Linked DNA regions of Rattus norvegicus. The protein of the gene in region 1 purifies or fractionates together with the protein of each later gene. This does not show direct contact. Links are inferred from orthologs where the notes say so. Each region holds a gene or a part of one and is shown on either strand. Other genes may lie near its edges.

The links.
Region 2: the proteins of Ksr2 (region 1) and Map2k2 purify together in Homo sapiens (affinity purification with mass spectrometry; 3 studies listed by BioGRID and IntAct, with this or other methods). This does not show direct contact. The link is inferred for Rattus norvegicus from reciprocal best matches to the Homo sapiens genes KSR2 and MAP2K2.

The regions. Positions count from the first base shown.
Region 1 is NC_086030.1:44,846,022-44,849,929, reverse strand, and holds the start of Ksr2 (kinase suppressor of Ras 2), read left to right. Parts: upstream 1-1,374; 5' UTR 1,375-1,820; coding exon 1,821-2,000; intron 2,001-3,908. UniProt on the Homo sapiens protein: Location-regulated scaffold connecting MEK to RAF. Has very low protein kinase activity and can phosphorylate MAP2K1 at several Ser and Thr residues with very low efficiency (in vitro).
Region 2 is NC_086025.1:9,243,507-9,247,314, forward strand, and holds part of Map2k2 (dual specificity mitogen-activated protein kinase kinase 2), read right to left. Parts: coding exon 3,748-3,808; intron 3,044-3,747; coding exon 2,992-3,043; intron 2,922-2,991; coding exon 2,797-2,921; intron 2,685-2,796; coding exon 2,471-2,684; intron 943-2,470; coding exon of another isoform or gene 940-942; coding exon 875-939; intron 95-874; coding exon 33-94; intron 1-32. UniProt on the Homo sapiens protein: Catalyzes the concomitant phosphorylation of a threonine and a tyrosine residue in a Thr-Glu-Tyr sequence located in MAP kinases. Activates the ERK1 and ERK2 MAP kinases.

The DNA.
Region 1 (3,908 bases):
CCACCTGCCTCTGCCTCCCTAGTGCTAGGATTAAAGGCGTGAGCCATCCCATTCGGCTAAGAAGAAAGCCTGTGTCTTTTATTAATTTATAGAAATGGCTCAGTGAGTACGGACAGCTCAGTTCAATTCCTGGAGCCCAGGGTGGAAGGAGAGAATTGTCTTCACTAACTGGGCGCTAACTTCGCCCACACGCTGTGCTGCACGTGAATCCCCCACCCCATTAATTAATAAAAAGCGTATCTATATCAGAGGCACTCGGTACAACTTTATTAACTACATAGTGAAATTTTAAAATTTCATATATGATTCCCCTTTCTTGTCACAAAGTATCCTCCCCAATCCTCAACTTCTTTAAAATGTACTGGCCGTTCTTTACTCTGGTACCGTAGGTGACTGACAAAGGTCAGGGTCGGTAGTTGAAGTTAGATTCCACAAGCCCTTGTGGGAGCAAGGCAAAGCCTCTGTCATCCTGCGAATGGACCTCAGCTAGATCAGGCCCAAGTAGTTGTCGTCCCCACCCGTCCCAATTCTGGGAAAGCCATCAAGGTTGGTTTCCCGCACCCTCCAGCCCACCAAAGCCACAAGAAGCCACCCGCAAAGCCAGGAACGGTGCACAGAGTACAGCGAGGCGAGCGCGCACCTGCTCCCGGGTCCCCGCGCACCTGCTGAGTCGCGCTCGGGCCTCGTCTCGCGAGATCCGGGCTGGCGTAGTGGCCCCCACCCCCACCCAGGCCACCGAGTACCTCTCCCCGCCCCCGGGCCGGGCCTCCCCGCTACCTCCGGGACCAGACCGGCCCCCCTCCCAGCCCCCACAGCATCGTAGCGGCTGCGCTCCGCACGCAAGCCCCTCAGCCCCAAGGGACCCCCGCCTCCCCGGCTGGAGGGTGGCCCGGCGGGCAGGTGCACGAGCCGCCTGCCGCCAGCGGGTCCCAGGCGCGCCCAGGGTGGGGGAGACCCGGGCACCGGCTGCGCGCACGGCGCCTCTCCGCGCTGCATCCCTCGCTCCGCTTCCCACCCCGCCCTGTGATTGACAGGCAAGATGTCGGTGTGGAGCGAGGCAGGAGCAATTGCAGCAGCCGTCCCCCCTGGAGCCCGGTGGCGGCAACAGCAGCAGCAGCAGCAGCAGCAGCAGCAGCAGCATTGTCGCGGGGAGCAGACCGCAGCCAGCCGCAGTGGGCACCGCAGCCGCGCCAGCCTTGCGCACAGCATCCCGAGAGCGCGCTGAGCGCGGGGACCCGCGGACCATGCCGTGTCACCGCGACCGGGAGGGGGGCAGGCGCGCTCCTTTTTGACATAAAAGCCAGCCGACCAAATAGATTTATATACATATAATTCCGCCCTTCACGGAGCCGGTGTGCGAAGCGTGAGCTCTATTTCCCTCTTCCTCCTCCTTCCACTTCTCCTCCTCCCCTTCCTCCTCCTCGCCCTCCTCCTCTTTCTCCTCCCCCTCTCTAAGTGTACAGACTGCACCCTACCACCTGGTTGGCTTCTGACAAACGGGCATCTCTCCCTTTTTAGGGACCAGGGACACAGAGAAAGAGAGAGGAGAGAGACAAGGGACATTCTAATGCAGACTGCCTGATACTCTACCCCCGCCCCAAATAATAATAAATTTTGGCTCTTGTCCCCTCCTCCAACCCCCACCCCCTCAAGCTTGTGTGAGATGTTGGGTTTCTTCAGGAGACACTGCTGAGAAGTCGCAGAGGTTGGGGAGGCGTAGGGGGGGTGGACTCCCTCTACCTCCACTCCTTCCCTCCCCCTTTTTTCTTTCTGGGAGGAGGTGGAGGAGGAGGAGGGGAAGGGGGGTTGCAGAGCAAGCTATGGATGAGGAGAACATGACGAAAAGCGAAGACCAGCAACCTCTGAGTTTGCAAAAAGCCTTGCAGCAGTGCGAGCTGGTTCAAAACATGATCGACCTGAGCATCTCCAATCTAGAAGGGCTTAGGACGAAGTGTGCAGCTTCCAACGACCTCACGCAGAAGGAGATCAGGACCCTGGAGGTAGGTGTTGCCTGCGGTGGGGGGTGGGGGCAAGCCTTCCATCCCTTCCCCTTTTCCAGTCTGTCCCCTTCCCTTTGGGGTTCTGTGTGCTGACGGAGGGCCCGGGGAGGGGAGAGGGTAACGCAGGTGGGCACGAATGATGCGCTATGATTTATCACCTGGCAAAGCCAGCGCCGATGTCTCTTCGCTTCCCAGTGTGGCTGCTGTCTGTGCTCGGCCGGGTGGTGGTGGGTAGCAGTAATAATTGGTGTGCCGTATTGTTGCCATGATTATTCTTTTCTTGTGGGAGGAGGGAGTTATTGTTATTGTTGTTATTATATATTCTCTCTCTCTCTCTCCTCTCTCTCTCTCTCTCTCTCTCTCTCTCTCTCTCTCTCTCTCTCTCTCTCTCTCTCTCTCTGGGATTTGTTTATATGCCACGGGGGCTTGAGCGCTGGGTGCTATGTTAAGGAGCTGCAGGAAACCCACGTGACCTTGTGTGTTCTGCAGGTGGTCAAAGGTGGTTTTGACTGGTTAGATGGGGCTGCCAGAATGGATTCAACCTTTTGCTCTGTGTCTCATCCCCCACCTCACCTCCCCCAACCTACGCTTAGAAAAAATCCCCAAGGAAGTACCTATTTCTAAAACAATCATTTGATGTAAAGGGGGGGGGTTCTCTTTGCAGGCCCAAAATGTGTAAAAAGAAACAATGTTACAGTTGCCTGGAGTGGTTCTTGCACTAGGTGGCGTGGGGAAAATGCTCTTGGGCTGTCTTGGTGAGACTTGGCGGATAGGGGTCCAGGAGAAGGAGTTACATTTGGCTCCTTGTAGCATCCTCTCTCTCTCTCAGACAGAACTTGAGGGGAGTCGGGAGCAGTTCACTGAGAGACTGTGATAGGGATGCTACAAAGTTACCACAAAGAAATGGAAGGAGCTATTTTCCTTCAAAGGCCATCTTTTTTGCCCCCAGAGGATGCTTTCAGGGTTTTGTGAACGGCCTGATGTACTGAAATCCTCCCGCACCTACCTCGTTCAAAATGTCAGACCGATTCAGCCCCTTCACCTTCCTTCCCTCGAAGGTCCAGCTGTCCACATTGCTTGATTTAATTTGGGAATTCCCACTAGCTGGCCTTTGCCAGAAAGTGGTGACTGTGGAGCTCAGAGCAAAGGAGGGTTCCCATTGGCATGGCCGTGCATCATGGAGCTGGATGGTTCAGTTGGCCTCTGGCTTGACTTGTGAGTTCCTGAGCCTGAAGTCTTTCTTCAGTCTTGGCTGACCAGGTCATCTGCATGAACACACCTCTTGGATGTATTCATTTGTCAGGCCTTTTTTTTCTCCTCGATGATTTTAAGTTTGGCCCTCCTGGTGTCTGTATGCAGGAGACTATGGTTTGGAAAGAGGAGTTTGTGTGCGTGGATATTTAAATACGGTGCTTACTGCCCTTGGATATATGTCTGTGCTCACCTGTCAAGTGGGAACATGAACCCCAGGGATGAAATAAGATAAATGTTAAAGTGGGATGTGCGTTGGGAGGCCTAGGCATTGCCTTTCTTAGGGGGTGGGGGAGAGAGAGAGAGAGAGAGAGAGAGAGAGAGAGAGAGAGAGAGGAGTAGGAGTGTTTGACTAGCGGTTGCTGCTGGAAGAAAAGGGTTGGCTAAGGTTTGCTGCTGGAAGTTTCGGGCTGTGGTTAGCCCAGCCCCTATCTCTGCTGCACAGGACCCAGAACAGACTCGGTTCAGAACTATACTTGGGAAAGTTTACACAGATAACCCCTGAGAGCCACCACTCCCACCATGTCTCTTCTACACCCTGTCACCAAAAACTAGGCTGACTTTTACAGACTAAGTTGCCCAGAGTTTCCTTCTGTTTCTTTCTGTGGTGTCCCATCCTCTGTTCACTGACTCCCTGGAGAGCAGTGATTGACACAG
Region 2 (3,808 bases), on another chromosome or scaffold:
GCTGCCCCACCCATCCCACAGGCCCATCTCACCATTTATTCACAAACTCCTGGAAGTCTGAGCTGAACACACCACTGGGCAGCTTGGGAGGTGGCTGTGGAGGACAGGGAAGGGTCACTTAGGTGGCTGCAGGAATTGCTAGCCATTCCTAGGAGCCATTCTAGCTGGGCTCCTCCAGTTAAGCTTTTGTCAACACTATCAAACTGTCTAGGGGGCGGGGCCGCCTGTGGTACAGGGTGGTGCCCTCCCTGTGAAGGTGGCCCCAGAGTGTCAATGCCAGGAACAGTGGTAGCCCTGTCATAGGCCACAAAGGCCATCTTATGCTAGTGTTCTTCACTCCTGGGTACATCCGTGCATAGTCACATGTGACCTTGTCTCCCTTCTGGAGACGTGCTTGAATTGTTGTTGCTCCATCACTGGCTGCTTTTGAGTCAGGGTCACTCACACACACTGGAGCTAAGACTGTTTTGGAAATTACTATGTGACTCATCCCAAGGCAATCCTGCCTCAGCCTCTCACACAAGGGTACTAGGTTGGAATTAAGTCTGCCCTAGGAACCCCCTTCTGTGTCTGTGGATGTGACCCAGGCCCTCACCTCTCATGGGAGGATTCTAGGCAGGAGCTCTCCCATGCCTTCAGCCTTCTTCCTGGGCAGCCAGCCAAGCCACAGCACTAGCCTAGGCTGGCCCACACTGACCTCCCATGCAAGCCTCCTGACTGAGCTGCTGAGTAACTTGGGTGCCGAGCATGATGGAGACAATGACAGCTTCCCACTGACTGGGACCGCAGAGGAGCAGCCCACACCCCCACCCCACACATCCAGGGTGGACCAGCCAGTTCCAGGAGCGAATACCTGAAGGCCAAGGGCACACACCTCATTCACTATGTAGTCCAGCAGCTCAAAGATGGCCATGGCTGGTCGGCTGTCCATCCCATGACCTACTTGACAGTACAAAGAACACACAACTGTGGGGGCTACAAAACTCAAGAGAGTGACTCTGGTCCTCCTGCCAGGACTCACTTCTGCACTCACAGGCTGGAGGAAGCTTTGCAGGTTGGGGAGGGGACTGGCAACACAGCAGGGACACCAATGTGACCTTACAGAGCAGCTGCTGGTATTTGGAACAGGAGGATGATGACCCCTGCCCAAGGCCCCACGGCCAGCTGCTGAGCTGTGCTGTTTGCCCGTCCTGTCATAGGCTGCTTTGGGACTTAGGCAGGAGAGGCACCAGCCCATGGGCTGGCCTGGTGTCACCACAGCTCGCCAAAGGACTGGGGCCATCTGAGACATGTTCTGAGACCTGGGGTCAGGGTGATCAGCCTGTGCTGGCACAGGGTGGGGAGGGGCTCTCTGCTCCTTTAAGGTATGTGAAGTACACACAGCACACACTGAGAACACATAGAGGGAACGGGGCCAGCCACATGCAGGGACCTCCAAGCCATGGTGCTTGGTGAGATCCAGACACAAAGGTTATATATATAGTACAGACTCCACTACAGGGAAGGTTCGGAGCAGGGTAAGAGCGAGTGAGTGAGTGAGCGAGGGATGTGTGTGTGTGTGTGTGTGTGTGTGTGTGTGTGTGTGTGTGAGAGAGAGAGAGAGAGAGAGAGAGAGAGAGAGAGAGAGAGAGCGCGAAAGCATGCACATGTGTGAATGGGACTTTGTTTAGGCGTGGTTGAATGTTCAAGAACCAGAGAACCAGACAGAGGGGGCTGGGGATTTAGCTCAGTGGTAGAGCGCTTAGCTAGGAAGCGCAAGGCCCTGGGTTCAGTTCCCAGCTCCGAAAAAAAAAAAAAAAAAAGAACCAGACAGAGGTAACGGACACTCTCGTCTGTGGCTGTGCTAACCACTGGTCTACAGGGCTTTCAGGAAGCAAAGGGTAGCGTTTGTTTCTGTTGTGTCTCCGCAGTTAAAGCCACCCATTCCCTGACATAAATCCCAGTAAGTCGGTGCTCTACAGAGGCTCTGTTCTACACCAAGACGGTGTTCCTGCCCCTTAGTAGCCAAGGCAGCCATTCCAAGGGTTGGATTGCCTCCCCAGGTCCCCTGGAAATGAGTTTCTCTCCAACCTGTGCTCCCTGTGCCTCCAAGGCAACAGGGTGTCACCAGATCACCTGCATCTGGGGCTTCCTGAATACTAGACTACAGATGTGTAGGCTGCAAGCAGTGGCTGGCTCCCTTTGTACCCCAACCCCAATTGACGCATCCTGCAGAAATGCCTGGGAAACCCAGCAGCAGCCAAGGCCTGAGCTCCAGTGGAGTTTCCCGGCGCCCAGCTGGCAGCAACAGGTGCAGCTGCCCTGGACAGAGAATGACATCGTGCAGCCTGTAGCTCTGTCCCCAGAAAGCCCTGGACCATCTGAGGACTGCTGACCACAGCAAGCCCTGTCCAGGGGACAGCTGGTACAGAGAGGGCCATCAGGGTGGCAGCTGAGCCCCCACCCATCCCTCTCCTGTCATGTCCCATACCACTGATGGGGCGTCCAGGGGGCCGGGGCCGCGGTGAGACACTATGGGGCTCTCCATCTGCCCCGTCCACCACAGGCCGGCCAAAGCTGGCCTCTAGTTCCTTGGCATCAGGTGGGGGGATGGGGTACCTCCCGATGGCCAGCTCCACCAGCGACAGCCCCATGCTCCAGATGTCCGACTGCACAGAGTAGTGGGTGCCCTGCAGCCGTTCTGGCTGTCAAAGAAACAGGACACAGCTGGGGTTGGTAGCATCAGGGTAGAGGCCACACACAAGCACAGACAGACCCCACTGAGGATGCGTGTACACAAAGGGCTTGGATACTCACGGACATGTAGGAGCGTGTCCCTACAAATGAGTTGGCCATGGAGTCAATCAACTGGCCGCTCACTCCGAAGTCGCACAGCTTAATCTCTCCACGAGAGTTCACCAGAATGTTGGAGGGCTTCACATCTGGAGACAGTGTCACAGGGGTGAGGCTGCACCCACTGTGTCCCACCCACACCAGCCTGGACCAGCTTACCTCTATGCATGATCTGGTGCTTCTCGCGGAGGTACGCCAGGCCCCGGAGCACCTGTAGGGAGGTCAGATCTGGGTAGCCTATGAGTCCAGGGCGGCAGGATTAGGCCATGACGAGCCTCCCCAGCCACAGGACACATGTCCCCAAGTCCTACACAGGATCCTGCAGCAAGCACATGGTCACTGTCTGCATTTCAAAGTGAGGGGCTGGGGCTATCTCAAACTCACCACAATTCTGTGTCAACCCCTCCTCCCCTCAGCTGTTAAGGTGACAGGCATGTGCCACCATCCCTGGAATTTTTTATTTCCTCTTTTAAGATAGGGTCTTACTCTGTGGTCCTGGCTGACCTGGAACTCACTGTGCAGACCAGGCTGCTCTGCCCATCCTGAGTGCTGGATGGGTGCACACCGTCATGCTGGGCTCCACCATAGGCACTTTTTTTTTTCCAAGATTTATTTATTTATTTATTATATATGAGTTCGCTGTCTTCAGACACACCAAAAGAGGGCATCGGATCCCATTACAGATGGTTGTGAGCCACCATCTGGTTGCTGGGAATTGAACTCAGGACCTCTGGAAGAGCAGTCAGTGCTCTTAACCACTGAGCCATCTCTCCAGCCCCACACAGTCATTTTTATATGGGGAAGAAAGGAGTGCTCACAGGCCACACACAGGCCATGGTGGGGCTGGCAGAGAACCTTGAGTAGATGGGGATAGGACATGATATCCCAAAAAGGAGCAGCAGCCAACGAACTTACCGCAATGCTGACCTTCCCTAAGATGTCCTCGGGAATGCGCTTGGCCTCCTTCAGTACCTGG